2 linked regions of the Alligator mississippiensis genome follow. The protein of the gene in region 1 purifies or fractionates together with the protein of each later gene. This does not show direct contact. Links are inferred from orthologs where the notes say so. Each region holds a gene or a part of one and is shown in the gene's direction. Other genes may lie near its edges.

What was found. Proteins that work in one complex are often made in the same cells at the same time.
Region 2: the proteins of CCP110 (region 1) and CEP97 purify together in Homo sapiens (co-immunoprecipitation; 10 studies listed by BioGRID and IntAct, with this or other methods). This does not show direct contact. The link is inferred for Alligator mississippiensis from reciprocal best matches to the Homo sapiens genes CCP110 and CEP97.

What each region holds. Positions count from the first base shown.
Region 1 is NC_081836.1:45,264,378-45,271,926, forward strand, and holds the start of CCP110 (centriolar coiled-coil protein of 110 kDa), read left to right. Parts: upstream 1-4,459; 5' UTR 4,460-4,558; intron 4,559-6,062; 5' UTR 6,063-6,077; coding exon 6,078-6,218; exon of another isoform or gene 6,219-6,231; intron 6,232-7,549. Other genes in the region: GDE1 (glycerophosphodiester phosphodiesterase 1), read right to left, coding at 1,308-1,562.
Region 2 is NC_081824.1:262,277,134-262,284,055, reverse strand, and holds the start of CEP97 (centrosomal protein of 97 kDa), read left to right. Parts: upstream 1-3,880; coding exon 3,881-4,097; intron 4,098-6,922. Other genes in the region: RPL24 (large ribosomal subunit protein eL24), read right to left, coding at 1-2, 473-536, 1,141-1,277, 3,038-3,148, 3,664-3,739, 3,822-3,826. UniProt on the Homo sapiens protein: Acts as a key negative regulator of ciliogenesis in collaboration with CCP110 by capping the mother centriole thereby preventing cilia formation. Required for recruitment of CCP110 to the centrosome.

The sequences.
Region 1 (7,549 bases):
AGGAGAAAAGTGGTTGTGGATTGTGCTTTGGAGGGAGCTTACTCCTTTAGGGGTATGTGTTAGGGAAACCCATGAAGAGAGAGAAAGAAAAACAAGGCTGAGTCAATATGGGACTGAGCTTTTTAAAACAGAAGGGCAATGTGTGTTGCTCTGGATCAGGGGTTTTCAACATTTTGCGGCCAGACAGAGGGGGTGGGGGATGCAGGTGCATGCCTGAATGCACCACGGTGGCAGCCAGCGCATGCAAGCTCCTCACCATGTCTAGCCAGGCAGACAGCGCCCGCGTGCAACGGTGCATGGCAGTGCTCTGTCCCCGCCTGCCTGTGTATGCCCCCTAGGGCCTTCTCAAGTACCCCCTGGTGTATGCGTACCCCCGGTTGACAACCCCTGCTCTGGATTATCCATTCTCTCTTGCTCTCTTCACCTTCATCCCTCTGTCCTCACACAGACATGCCTTTTCTACAGCCTTCACCTTTCAGTATCCAGATGCTGGGTGTCACTTCAAGACATGGGACCTCAGTTAGGAAGAATGCCCAGTAGAAATAGTGCTAGGCTACTGACTTTTTCAGATGGTCTTTTACATTTCTCAGGTCTCAAGTAGCTGAACAACATTAAAGAAGAGATGTAAACAGCTTCTTCCCTGCGGTTTCCAAATGCGTCCTGCTGGGTACCCAGCGCTCCCCGGACTGCCTCGGGCAACGAGAACTGCTATATTTACCGTTAACAATGCACAGAGGCATGCCTGGCAAATCCCCAGCTAACCTGATGTCTCCATCAATTTTAGCAGCTCTCTCAATCCCTCCGGGTGGTTTGCTGACGAGCCCGCGCTAATCACTCCCATCGTACACCTTCGCGGCACTTTCCTTGTTTGTCGCACCCTTAATTGCCCACTTCTGCTTGGCTCCAGGCAACCCGGGCTTGTGCCTTTCTGAGAAGGGGAAGCAGCCGGCGCAGCAGGCTGTGGACGCGCCTGGATGCCAGGGCTGGGCAGCATGCCGCAGCCCAGCTCTCCTCCCTGCCCCGTCTCCCCTGGGTGTCAGCACCCACGTAGCAGCCTGGTCCCAGCAGCTGTGCAAATGAAGGGGGCCAGTGGCGGTGCAAACAAAGCACATCTTTCCCCCCCCCCCCAGCACCGCAGCCCTTGGGTGCAGCCGGCTCCCCCTCCCTCCGGCCAGGCGTGCAGCACCCCCGGCCCAGCCCGGCCCAGCGCAGCGGGGAGAGCAGGGCCAAGGCCGGGCGGGGGCTGCAAGGCCCGGAGCAGGAGGGGCGCAGCGCTGCCTTGCCCGCAGGGAGGCCCCGGCCCGGACCTGTCTGATGGCCGCCAGCGTGTTCTCGGGCGCGTCGTGGCCGCCGCCGCGGTGGGCGATGCGGGCGGCGGCGCCGCGCGGCTGCAGGACGTGCTGGGCCCGCGACAGCGGCGCCGGCTCCAGGCTGAAGAGCCGCAGCGCCAGGTAGAGCCCGGCCGGCGCCAGGCAGGACAGCGCCGGGCTGCGGCTCAGCGCCAGCAGCGCGCCCAGCAGCGCCGTGAGGGCGCCCAGCAGGCCCGGCCCGCCGCGCAACATAGCGAGGCGGAGCGGAACCGAGCCACCACTCCCGCCCGGCGCCGTCGGCACCGAAGCGCACAATGCGCCGCGGAGCTGCGCGCCAGCCAATCCACACCCACCGGTGGGTTTTGCCAACAACCAATCAACGCCCAGCCCCACTCTGCTATCAGCCAGTCATCCTCCAGCAACTGGCCACCGCCCGCCAATCGTCATGGAGGACACATCTTGGCTGAGTCTCTCAGCCAACGATTGGCTGAAAAGCCGGAACGGGGCAGGATCTGGGGTTGGGTCCCGCCTTCAGGGCTGCCCAGTAGGTGGAGGCGGCTCGCTTGGAGCTGCGAAACCAGGAGCTGCCTGCAAGCAACGCGAGTTCAGCTTATTAATGTCGATCTCCTGCTTTCTTCCTCTTCAGGGAGCGTGATTTGAAGGTTTTCTCTGCCCCAGGCAGGCTCCCCTGTAGTCCTGCAGCTGTAACTGAGAAAAACCGTTGGGAGACTTGGCATTTAAACGAATAAAAGAGATTACCCCCAAATCTTTGTCTCTGCCTAGTTAAAGGCATACGTAGAAGCAGCAGTGAGTGTGGAGGGACTTGTGCCAAAAATCCCCGTAATCAGCCACCTCTAGGTTATTTGAGCACTAATTTGGTATTCATAGACTTCATAGACATTAGGGCTGGAAGGGACCTCGGAAGATCATCGAGTCCAGCCCCCCGCCCAAAGGGCAGAAAAGAATTAGGCCTATGGCACCCGGGATTCCCAGGCGGTCTCCCATCCAGGTACTAGCCGGACCTGGGACTGCTTAGTTTCTGAGATCAGACGGGATCGGGTGCGCTCTAGGTTTTATTCTTAGGATATGCTCTAGGCTAAGTGTATTGTGGCTGACGGGGCTTGGGCTTCGTAGCTGTAGCCCCACTAGTCTCTAAACTGAGACTTCCCTCCTGCGGCCAGGGCTGTGCCTAGGGGGGCGAATCGGGGTGACAGCTGCGGGCCCTGCGCTTTGGGGGCCCCGTGGAGCCGGGTGGAGCGGCGACTCCCCGCTGCCGCCAGCTTCACGTCTGACTGCTGGGCAGCCCCCCTCTGCCTGCGGTCAAATCCACCCCCAACATCTTCGCATCCCAGGGGCAAGACCCCACACAGGCTGATTGGCCCCAGGCCCTGCAACCTGCTCGGGTTGTCTCTGCCTGCGGCCACACAGTTAAAGGCAAGCAAAACTTGGGGGCATGTGAACCCCAAGCCTCAGGGCTTGGGCCTGCACATAGGATGCCCACTGCAGGATTTGGAAGCATCTGAAGCCCAGGTGAAGGTGGAAGATGCTTGCCGGTAGCAGGGCCACATGGTTCTTGAAAGACTCATGGATTTGGAATTGATCTGGCTGATGTGACTTGGGACATGAAAAATTTTCCTTAAAAAGAAACAAAAACCAAACCGATTTTGCATTTCGTACTTAGCGTCCACATGATCATTAATGGCACATTAAATTTAGTACCTGTAATTACAGGTTCTAAATGTGCTGTAATCAGCGCGACTGCACATTAGGGTAAATGAATGCTTTTTTGGTGACATTAATGCACATAAGACTAAATCTACCGCACATTAGTGCATTAGCATGGTTTTTGCCAGCCGCACTAATGTGCAGTTGAATTAGTCTTCTGTGCATTAAGCTTCCTGTGTAGCCATACACAGAGTGATGTAGGTGCTTTTGATGATCTGCAGCCAGCTGTACGTTTTAAATGTTGAATTGATTTTGTAATGCATTTGTAGTTCTCTGTTTTTCCTTCCACTTCAAGCAACAACCTAAACTCAGACCTTGCCTGAGCCGAGTGTTGTTAGAGGAAATGAATGTCTTTTGCCCTGATCGTCTACTGAACTTCTTCTCATGCTCTGTCTGAGGTTGTTGATGGCAGGTACTGAGCAGAGTTCACAGGTTCCTTCCAAACTGACCGGCCCATCACAGTGAGTGTTTCTGCTATGGCTGAGGCCCGCTATGGCAGCATGATTACAGCTGGTTGCAGCCCAGGCTGCAGAGCATCATGACGCTTGGGAGCAAGTGCAGTCTCCTCTGACACGTGTCCAAAAGGAGAGCATGCCTGTGGCAGTCGCGCCTGTGCCCCAAGGATCATGAGACCACATGTTGCCATGTGCCCATGTCAAACACTGTCATCTCCCCAGTGCAAACTGGGGACATTGCAGTTCAGGTCCCTTGCTGCTGCTGGTAACTAGACAATGAATGACAAGAAGAGAGGAGCTGTTTTCAGGGCACTGTTTTCAGGCCATGGGCAGCATGAATGCTGCGTGCCCCTGGCGGCTGGGGGGGCACGGTGAGCTCCCACAGGCAGCGCTGCTGTCAGCAATGGGAGCATGGCAGCGGCAAGCAGGGAGCTCCTGCAGGGGGCCACAGCGCTGTCGGCGGTGGGGCAGTGGGGTGACAAGCGCCAACTGATGGCCAGTGACCATTTGCAGATGCTGCTGGCAGCATTGGCAGGTGGCCAGTGGCGATCACAGGCCGCCCACAGATGCTGCCAGTGGTATTGGCCTTTCTGCAGGGGGTGCACCACCACGTTCAGGGGGTGCATGTGCACCTGTGTGCACCTACACATCGCCAATGCTGGGAAGGATTACTGGAAACAGAGCATGGTTTACATGGAGTATCCGGATCAATCTGGGAAATCCGGGAGGAGCAGAAACCTTCCCGCAGAGGCATGAGCAGTTACCCACCTTCCCCTTTAGACTGGAGGGTACGCCTCTCTCCTTTCAAACTACAACTCCCAGCATGCGCCGCGGAGGCCAGAGAGCCTGTTGCTCCCAGCATGCAATGCCCCCGCCAAGCGGCGCGGGACGGGCGCCGGGGAGCAGTGCATGCTGGGATTTGTAGTTCTCTCCCGCCCGTGAGTGCTCCCAGGTGCGGCGCCCCGGAAGCGCAGGGGGAGGGGCGGGCTGCGGCCCCGGTTGCCAGGCGCCGGCGGCTCTGGCGCGGCGGAGCGCGGGGCCGGGATCGTGGGCGAGCGGGGCCGGCAGGTACCCGGGGACACGGCCTGTGGTCGCGGCCCCGGGCCCGAGCTCAGCGCGCGCGGCCCGGGCGGGGAGAGGAGCGCGTGAATGCGCTGCGCTGCGCTGCGCTGCGCTGCGCTGCGCGGGGCCCTGGCGCCTGCGGGCGGCCGAGAGAGAGGGAGGGAGGGAGGGAGGGAGAGAGGGCCCCGCGCTCGGGGGCTGCCCAGCTGTGAGCTGTGGTCTGCCTGGGGCGCCGGGCAGCGCCACCGAGTGTGTGTGTCTGCGCCCAGGCTGTGTCCCCGGGGTGCCTGGTTTCTACCCAGTTTGCAAAGGAGCCTTGCATTGAAAGGGGTGTTGGGCGCTGCTGCCTTCAAGACATCGGGGCCAGGATTTGTTCTGAGCTTGGCCGTGAGTCTCTTTGCATCAGTGCAGGAGCCTTGGTAGCGCAGGAGACTTTTGGGGGCTCTGACCCCCTGCCAGGGCTGTGGGAAATCCAGCAAAGAGCTGCTTTTGGATCCTCCATGCTACGGCAGATTCAGTGACTGCACAGACCGTGTGCAGCCTGCGTTCTCCAGCTGACTTGTGAATAAACCTCGTCTGCCTGTTTCCCTCTGCCCCCCACCTTAAAAAGATGATTTCCTTCCTCCCCACTGCCACCATCTGCCCCTTAACGTACGGCGTGGTTCTCCTCCCTGCACTGGCCAGGTCTCCGCATGACTGCTGTGTCCAGTTGAAGACAGTGTGTTTAAAAAAAGAAAGAAAGAGAGCTCATTTGAAAAGAGTCTAGGCCAGAGGTTCAGAAATCACGACCCTGGGGCAGAAATGGAAAGAATAGGGTTTATTTAGTCTAAAGAAGAGAGAACCGAGATGATGTGGAAAGGGGAAGGTTGTAAACTTTTCCACTCTGCTGGGGACAGTAGAGGATTAATGTGCAGCAGGGGACAATGGGATGTCAGGCCCAACTTCCTAATTGTATGAGTGTGGATCTGGCAGGTTTTTAGGGCACGACTAGACGAATATCTGTGAGGAAGGGTTGACTTGCAGTTCATTCAGCCTTTGGCAGGCAGGTGCACTAGATGACCTCATAACATCCCTTCCAGCCCCATTTTCTGTGATTGTAGTAGCAGTGCAACATCCTATCTTTTGTACTGGCTTTCAGATGTTTGACTGCCAAAGTTGTAAAGCACGGCACAGTCAAACAAGAAGTGTAGATGGTAAGTAGGGTTACAAATGGCTTGAAACCTAAGGCTGTTCTGGAGTTTAAGGTCCTAGTTTTGTTCCCGTCGAAGTGATTGCCTTGAGAAGCAAGCCCTTTGAGACAGCAGTACGCTGGAGATTACTTAACTTGGAGTCCATAATAGCACAGATTAACAAGAATTTGTATGAAATATTCCATGTCACATTTCTGTCTCTCGCTGCAATGTATCGCAGAGAACAGAATCATTTTCACAACCTGCTCTTGTTGTACTTGTCCTGCTGTATTTCTTCCACTGGTAGTACCATGGTGGTAGTAATATATCTCTATGTGCAGTTTAATCAAAGGAAGATGGAAGACTATGAAAAATTCTGTGAAAAGCATCTTGCCAGGCTTCAAGGAGAGTCGCTACCAAAAGAAATCTCTTTGCCTACTCAGCACAAAAATATTTCACTTATCCAGTTCCATGGCATTCCTGTGCTTTCACCCTTGGTAAGTGTGACATGTAAGTACTTACATTTAGAAAAGGCAGAGACCATTTTTGTTCACTTATCTATATTGGGTTATGGGGCAACCAACCATGACTAGCGCATTTCTGTAGTGTTCAGGAACGAAATCAAAGGCTGATGGGAGTGGAGTTTTATGATACGATTAAGTAAAAAAATAATTTTTCCCATTCCAGAGTTTGGATTGAGGTGTTTACCACTAGATGAGTACTCTTATGTTGGATTCTTTCATAGCTTCCCATTATACCTGTTGGTTTTCCAGCCTTATTTTGTGAATGCGGCTCTTTTCCTACCCTGCTCTCTTCTTGCTGGGCCCTTGTTTGATTAGTACACGTAGATAAGCACAAGTTATAGTGTAAAAAGTTCCTTACCATTTTTGTCTAGACAACACTACAACTGCTGGAAGAGTTGGATAGTAAGAAATGCAGCTACAAAGCCGACTAGCACAATCAAAGCCTTTAAGATGAACTTGCGGCCCAATTGCTTATGCATCCCACAGTGTGCCCCTCAGGCCTTGGCTACACAGAAGTCTTTCTAAAATCTTTTCTAACATCAGAGATGCTTCACTAGGAGGATTTTGGAGAAGTCTCAGTGCAGCAGCAGCTCCATTTTAATTACGCCTTAACTTGTTGCCTAGTACATACAGGGCACAGAAGTGGATTATTTACTGTGTTTCCTTTCACTTTGTGAAATAATGTATGTCTCATAAGAAAAATACTTATGGTGGTATAAACCAGGCAAATACTGCTACTATTATACTTTATTTTTAATGGAAAATTGCTTATTTGCTAGTTGCTGAATGTCGTTTGGGCTTATTTAAAATAGTACCAAATAAAAAGAGTGGATGGAAATGCTAGGTTGATTGGAAAGTTTTCACTCAACCCCATTTTCAATCAGAAAAAGTTTTTCAGCTAAACAGGATTTTTTTTTTTCCTAAAAAAAAAAAAAAAATTCAAAATTTTCATTTTATTCAGAAATGCTACTAGAGTGTCTCAGCAACAGGAGATGCTGTTTCATGGGAGATATCAACATTTTTCCATCTATTTCCAACTGGTTCTAAAAGATACTTAAGATGGCATCTCTAGATTAAAAGACATTATTGCTTTCTCTTCTCTTCCTCCTTCCTCTTTCTTCCTCTAACTTATTCTTGTTTTATAATTGGTCTTGGTTAGCTCTGTTATACACATATATTTTAAGTGAATTTGTATTTTAAGATTATTTATTTGTATGGAATACAGCAATTGAATGACAGAACATCCTATAAATGACGACACTGAGGGATAAGGCTAGGGTGGCAGTTTTAGATTTGATATCCAT
Region 2 (6,922 bases), on another chromosome or scaffold:
GCCTGTTAAGAGAGATTGAAAACAAATGGTAAAATTAGCTGGTAAAATCTCTTGTAGTGTTTCCATTTTAATTCTTCCTTGAGGACATAGAGTGTCCTCATTAGAAGTGAGGCAAGTGTACTCAGATAGTGGTATCGTATGCATAGTGACAAATCTCAGCAAAGCAGGCTGAGGAGGTTTACAGGAAGAGCCCTGCAGTGCTAACCAGCTTAAAGAACAGGCAACCATCAATATGATAGTCATGCTATCAGGAAATGCAATAATTTAGTATTGTTGCAGTCTCTAAAAGTGAAGATTTAAAAGCATCTCTCCCATATCGTAGACTGCCGAAGCCCATGTTTCAGCAAAAGCAGCACGCAATGCACAAGCTCTCAGTCAGGTGTTCCACACAACAGTATTTCTTATGGGCATGTTTCAAGTTACCAGTTTTACATTTTATAAATTTCTACCCTTTTGGCCTAAAAGATATCACCTTTGTAGTAGAGGTTGCAGTTTTCTTGGTTGCCTGCTTAGCCTTCTTGGCTTCCTTGGCAGCCCTGTTTTTAAAAAAAACAAAATGAGTTACAATAACTATTTGCTTCTTCCACCTAATGTTTTCCTTCCATCTCAAAACGAAGTGGACTCTATCTACAACGATACTAAAGAAACAAGAACTGCTTTGAAGGTAGGTAAACCTAAAATTATGATGCATTTGACTTCTGGCCTATAGCTGCATAAGGCATCTTGAGAAAGCTCACTCAGAATCTTAAAAAATACAACAGCTTGTAGTACTCCAAACAATACAAGTGGCATTTCCCCCATCCTAAATTATAACCAGTCATTTTTTTAATATATTTTTTGACCAAATAGCAGTAAAGGCAATTTCTATCTATACTAAAGCAGCATCCCCAAAAACTGGACAGCTATTTTTTTTTAAAGCTCCCATGACTTTGTGTTAACAGTCTTATCTGCTTCATCATTTTAACCCTCAAGCTAGCACTACCTTAAGTATTTTGTCTTCCTTTCCAACTCTACCCTCCCACTAACAAGCCAGGTTGCAAACTGTGACCTCAAGCACAATTTAGAAATCTGTAATGGAAACCAGAATATTTGCTACACTGGAAATACTTGAGATCGCTACAGTTGCCTTCAGCTGCTCACCTAATGGCTTGTTCCCGCTGCGCTTTTCGTACTTCAGGCTTCTGATTTCTCTTGGCCATTATCTCAGCCAAAGATGCACCAGTGATAGCCCTCTGGAACTTGACAGCACGGCGTGTCCGCTTTTTTTGTATCTCTTCCTAAAATGGGAGAGGTGTGAATTGGATAATTAGTGCCACAAGAAGCTGAACAAAGAGCACTGCATTATTTGCATTTGTCTTCAGTGTTGAAGAGTCCCCATTTTCTCCAAAATCCTTAACAGAGTAAGAATCTGTTTTGGCAGATGCTGACCATAATGGCAATCATCTCCACACTACATATACCAAAATCATCAATGCATTATTTATCGTCTATGAAGACAAAGAATAAAGATAAGAGAAATGAGTTAAGTGCAATGAGAATGTAAGAGCATTCCTTATGAGTACCTAAAAACAGGAAATCTATTTGTATAAGTCATTTTGTTCAAAAGGATGCTGTGCAATGAAGTTTCCAATCATGAGAAGTCAAGTTTGACCATCTTCAGAAAATGCTAGCAAACCTTCCTCTTTGATTACTCAAAATGGCACATACTTCAGCTCCCCTCTCCAGGCCCACCTATTTAACCCTGCTTCCAGAAACCACATTTTCAAATTTAACTTTCTATAATCCAAAAAGTATAATGAACTCCATGAGATCCCAAGAAGACTAAAACAGAACATGTTCAGAAACTACTATGATGGGAGAGAGCGAAAACTGTTGCAGTTCTCCACATAGCCTATTCACTTTTTCTTAAAAATAAATAAATAAATAAATAAATCTTAACTATAACACCAAAGAGACTTTTGGGGCTTTATCAAACAAGCTGGCATAGATAACCTAATCACATATGTGTTTCCCTGTTCCAATCAAAACAAGCATCAAAAACCTTGTCAGCTAAAGTTTAAGTAACACCTTTAAAAATTCCTTACTACACAATGGAAAGAGGCAGTTAGCTATGAGGTGAGACAGAAGGCAGGGCAGCTCCTACAGACATGGGGAGCCCGCTCTGACATGCCAGAAATTCAGCACATCAGAGCAGACTTGATTTCGAGTCCGCTGAAGCATGGAAATGAACGCACTCCAGCAGCCTTCAGCATCACATGCATCAGTGACCTGTGTGTCCCAGCAATGAAAGATGGTGGCAGGGCACTTTGAACTAAAGCTCATTGAATGTGTTTTATTTCAAAGGGCCTTGCCACCAATTTTTCAGTGTGGGGACACAAGATGCACACAATACGCGGGCACTTTTAGTTAGTGTGGTACGCTTAAAGTGCCCCAAAACACATATAAAAATTCTTTCAGAGCCATAAGTTTTTGTAGGTGACAATCAACTTTGCCAGATGCCATGACAGCTATCATAGCATGATGGGAACCATAAAAACTACTGGAAACATACTTGAAATTTGATGCTGTAGCAGAGATTCAGGATTTTTATACCCAGCAATCACTTCATAATTAAGTTGGACCTAAAAATCACAGTCCAAGCTTTAAAACAGATACAAGCTACACTTGCTACAAGTGTAACAAAGAATGTACACTCAACTAATCACCTACCAACTAGAGAGGAATATAGAACTCTTCCCTTCATTGCAGTAATCCTTCCGAATAAGAATTAAGTGGCATCACACTGCCCAGCCTTAATGTCAAAGTGTTAGTATTTGACAGAACCAAAAGCCAACAAACAGGAACTATGTACGGCCAGAATCACAAGGATATGAATTTTGTATTGGTAAAAGTGAAGGTCTGTATCACTTAAATGCTACAGCCCACTTCACAATCCAGGAGTTGTCACTTGTTTGCACACCTGTGGCAAATGGGATGATTCACATGCCTCTCTTCAACATTAAAGCATCGTTATTCATAATATATTAAATATACTTACAGACTGTCCTTTCTTGTGTTTGCGTCGATACAGAACAGTCCAGTTGATCTGGCGGGGGTTTCTCTTGGAGAGAAATGCAGACTCGCATTTTGCATTCAGGAACTGGAAAACCTGGAGACATGCACACAAATATACCTATTTTACAATAGGTTTACTCCATTCAAACCATCACAGTTTATATGTTTGTCAAGTTGCTGAGTCCTCCTTAGAATCATAGAAAGTAAGGGTTGAAAGGGACCTCAGGAGGTCCAACCCCTGCTCAAAGCAGGACCATCCCCAACTAGATCATCCCAGCCAAAGCTTTGTCTACTTTGGTCTTAAACACCTCCAAGAATGGAGATTTCACCACCTCTGCATAACCTGCCCCAGTGTTTTACTACCCTCTTTATAAGAAAGTCCTTCCTAACATCTAACCTAAACCTCCCTCCCTGCAACTTGAGACCAGCGGTCCTTGTTCCGTCATCTGCCACCATCTTTGCTGCCCCTGTGTAGGGTTAAAGCCTGCCAGCGTCCCTGGGCTTGTGCATACCTCGGGGCTGTGCTAGGTCTCTACATCACAGCCACCGTCCCCTGCAGCCTCCCCTCCCCCAGGTCCTCTCGGGCCGCACTCCCCAACCCTCGCGCACCTTGCCGTCCGTGCGGGCGTAGCGGCGGCCGTGGCCTGGGTAGATCTTGTAGCCGCTGAAGCTGCACAGCTCGACCCTGCGAGGAGACAAACGCAGTAGGTTAGCGGGGGCGCTTGGGTGGCGGAACCGACCGGGGGGGGGTGTAAAGCAGAGCTCACTTCATGATGGCGGTAGATTCGGCCTGGGCGGCGGCAGCGACTAAGAGGAAGAGAGGATTATGGGAACGCGCCTTTTATATGCGCCACGCGGGGCAGGCCGGGACGAAACTGCGGCGCCCAATGAGGGCGCTCAGCAGGGCGTGGAGGTGGGGCTGCCTCGCTGGAGGAGGCTGCTAATCTGCGCGTGGCCCTGCGTTGCTTGGCGGCGTGTGCAAACGGGCAGCATGGCGGCGGCGAACAGCGAAGAGAGCGGCCCGGTCGCGGGCGCCGAGGAAGGTAGCGGTGGTGCTGGGGGAGGGGGTGCGCCGGTCTCGCAGCGGTTGGCGGGGGGAGAGGCGGTGTGCGCGGGGCACGCTGGGAGCTGTAGTTCGGTCCGCGCGGGGCCGGCGCGCTAGCCTGGTGCTCGCACTACGCTTCCCGACAGCCTTTGCGTTTCTCCCCCCGCGCCCAGGCCTTGCCTGACCTCTCCGTCTCGTCCCGCGCCTGCCCTGCTCTCCCTGCCCAGGTGCAGCGGCAGCTGCTGCGCAGGTTGTTCTGCGGGTTTCAGGGAGCTGCGTCCTTCCTGACCCCCACCTCAGCGCGGCCAGGAAGCGCCCTCTGTTTTTAAGTCCCAGCAGCAGCACGGGCACAGCCCAGTCGTGGCTGGTGCCAGCGTCTGGCTGGGGCTGAGGCTACACCTCTCCATCTCCGTCCCCTGCACTCTCTTCTGTTTGGCCTGATGTCTTGTCAAGCAGTCAGGTCTGGTAACTCATCCTCTTGTCTTCTTCACCAATGTCCCCTTGGCCTGGTGCCCTCAACACACTCCCTCCTGCGTCCTGGCTGAACCCCTCCCTGCCCCTCCACTCCCTCCTTGAGACCCCTGCCTCTCAATCACACAAGGCAGCTGGACGGTAATAGTCTCCAGGCATCACAGAGTTGGCTCCTGTAGGGATGGTTCGGTCCCATGCCAATCCTCCAGTGCCTCTTCAAGGCTTGCTGATGAAGACTGCTGTGCATTAAACAACTTCTCTTACTCTATGCCAATTGTACAGTTGGTGCAGTAAAAGATATGGGGACAGGCCTGCTTTGAGCAGGGGTTTGGATTAGATGACCTCCTGAGGTCCCTTCCAGCCCTCATTTTCTATGATTCTATATTACCCAAAAGAGCTTCACCTCTTTGAGGCTTAAGCTGCAAATGTCGTGTCAGATCTTTTCAGTCCTTCCATTATGCATCACTGAGGCAAGATGGTTTTCTCGGTTTCCGCCCCAGCCCCTCTCACCTTCTTTATATAAACCCCATTTACCAGGGGATCTTTTCCTTGCTGTAGCCATAGCTTGTATGTGGCTTTCGTAATTGTCAAAGTAGATTCTTCCATACTCAAACTCCATTTATCCCTGCTGTCATCTCTAGAAATATATGTTGCCAGAGGCGACTCGAACAGGATCCGGGGCCCAGGGCAAGTCGGTCCATGCAGGGCCGTGCCACCACTCCGATCCCAGACCTGAAGAAGCGGGTGGGGTAGCGAGCGGCTGGGCTCCGTGGGGCCCCCCCAAAGCGCAGGACCCGGGGCGGACAGCCCTGTATGTTGCAGACATCGCTGCAAAGATTCTGATCCTCATTGTGAGCTATTTGAGGCAGGAACCTTGCCATATGTCTTTAAAGCATCCTGAACATTGCCAGATGCATGAGGATGATAATGGTAATAATTATCACTATAGGTTTTCCTCTTTATGCTGTATGTGCATTCCTGGAAAATGGAGTGTAACTTGAATTTGCATAAAGGGAACCCACTTTACAGTGTAACAAATAGGGATATGTTCCAAGACCTTGACTTTACTGACTCCCAGACCCATTTCTACCACTTTTACAAGGCAATTTTGGTATTCACCAACAGCAGACAGTACACACAAGCATAGGGTGGTGGTGAATGTTACCATAATGGGGATGGCAACTACAGAAACTCATCACAGACCATGAGCAAGGAGATCCACGCACAAGACTATATTTTGGTATGTTCCTCCCACAGTGTGCTGCACAAAGCAGCTGACTGCGGGCTTCCACCACACTGATCACATAAGAGTGAATTTACCTTGCATGTAAAGAATTTTTGGTATAAAGAGGGTCATCGCATAAGAATGAATTTGCACATACAGAACCCGCATAAATCAAGGGAAACCTGTATTGTCTTAAATTACTTATGAAGTTTTCCTTGATGAAGCTGAGTATGAAGTGAGTATGACAGACAAAAAACTAGAACTCTTGGTTCCAAAACAATACCTTTTATTAGACCAACCAAGATATCGCAAGAAAACTATCCTTTTCTACAAGCTTTTGGGATCAAAGTGAGTATGAAGCTTTTTTTTGATGAAGGAGAGAACTTCTCGATAAATTAACTCTTAAAAAAAATCAGTCCTTGTCATTGCAGTAGCAAATTTAGAAATATACAGCATCATCTCTGAGGCAAGATAGCTTACATTCTTTTGTTGCTGCTTGCAGCTTTGCTACTGCTGCACTAGGAACAGCTGCGTTAACAAAAGGAATGCAAAATTAGCAATGCTGTTGTTGGCAAAATTATCTCCAAAATTGGCTACTGTAGTTGTTAGCTGTATATCTGGCCCGCTAATACAATGACTGAAGGCAGTTCTTCAACATTGCTGTTTTTAGTCTTAGCTAGGTGGTAGCAAAGGTTTAAGAGATTTGATCTGGTAGGCCTGGGTTATGAGAACTGGCTATATTCTCCCCTGCCAGAGTACAGGGAAAGGGTCTACCAGTGAACAGGTGTCGGGAGAAGAACTTCTAGTTCTTCTCCCAACACCTTCTTCCGATACTCTTCAATGTCTTCATCAGCGACTTGGACGAGGGAGTGAAGTGTACTCTGTCCAAGTTTGCGGATGAGACAAAACTGTGGGGAGAAGTGGGCACGCCGGAGGTCAGGGAACAACTACAAGCAGACCTGGACAGGTTGGACAAGTGGGCAGAAAACAACAGAATTCAATTCAACAGGGAGAAATGCAAAGTGCTGCACCTAGGGAGGAAAAATGTCCAGCATACCTACTGCCTAGGAAATGACCTGCTGGGTGGAACGGAAGCGGAAAGGGATCTTGGAGTCCTAGTGGACTCC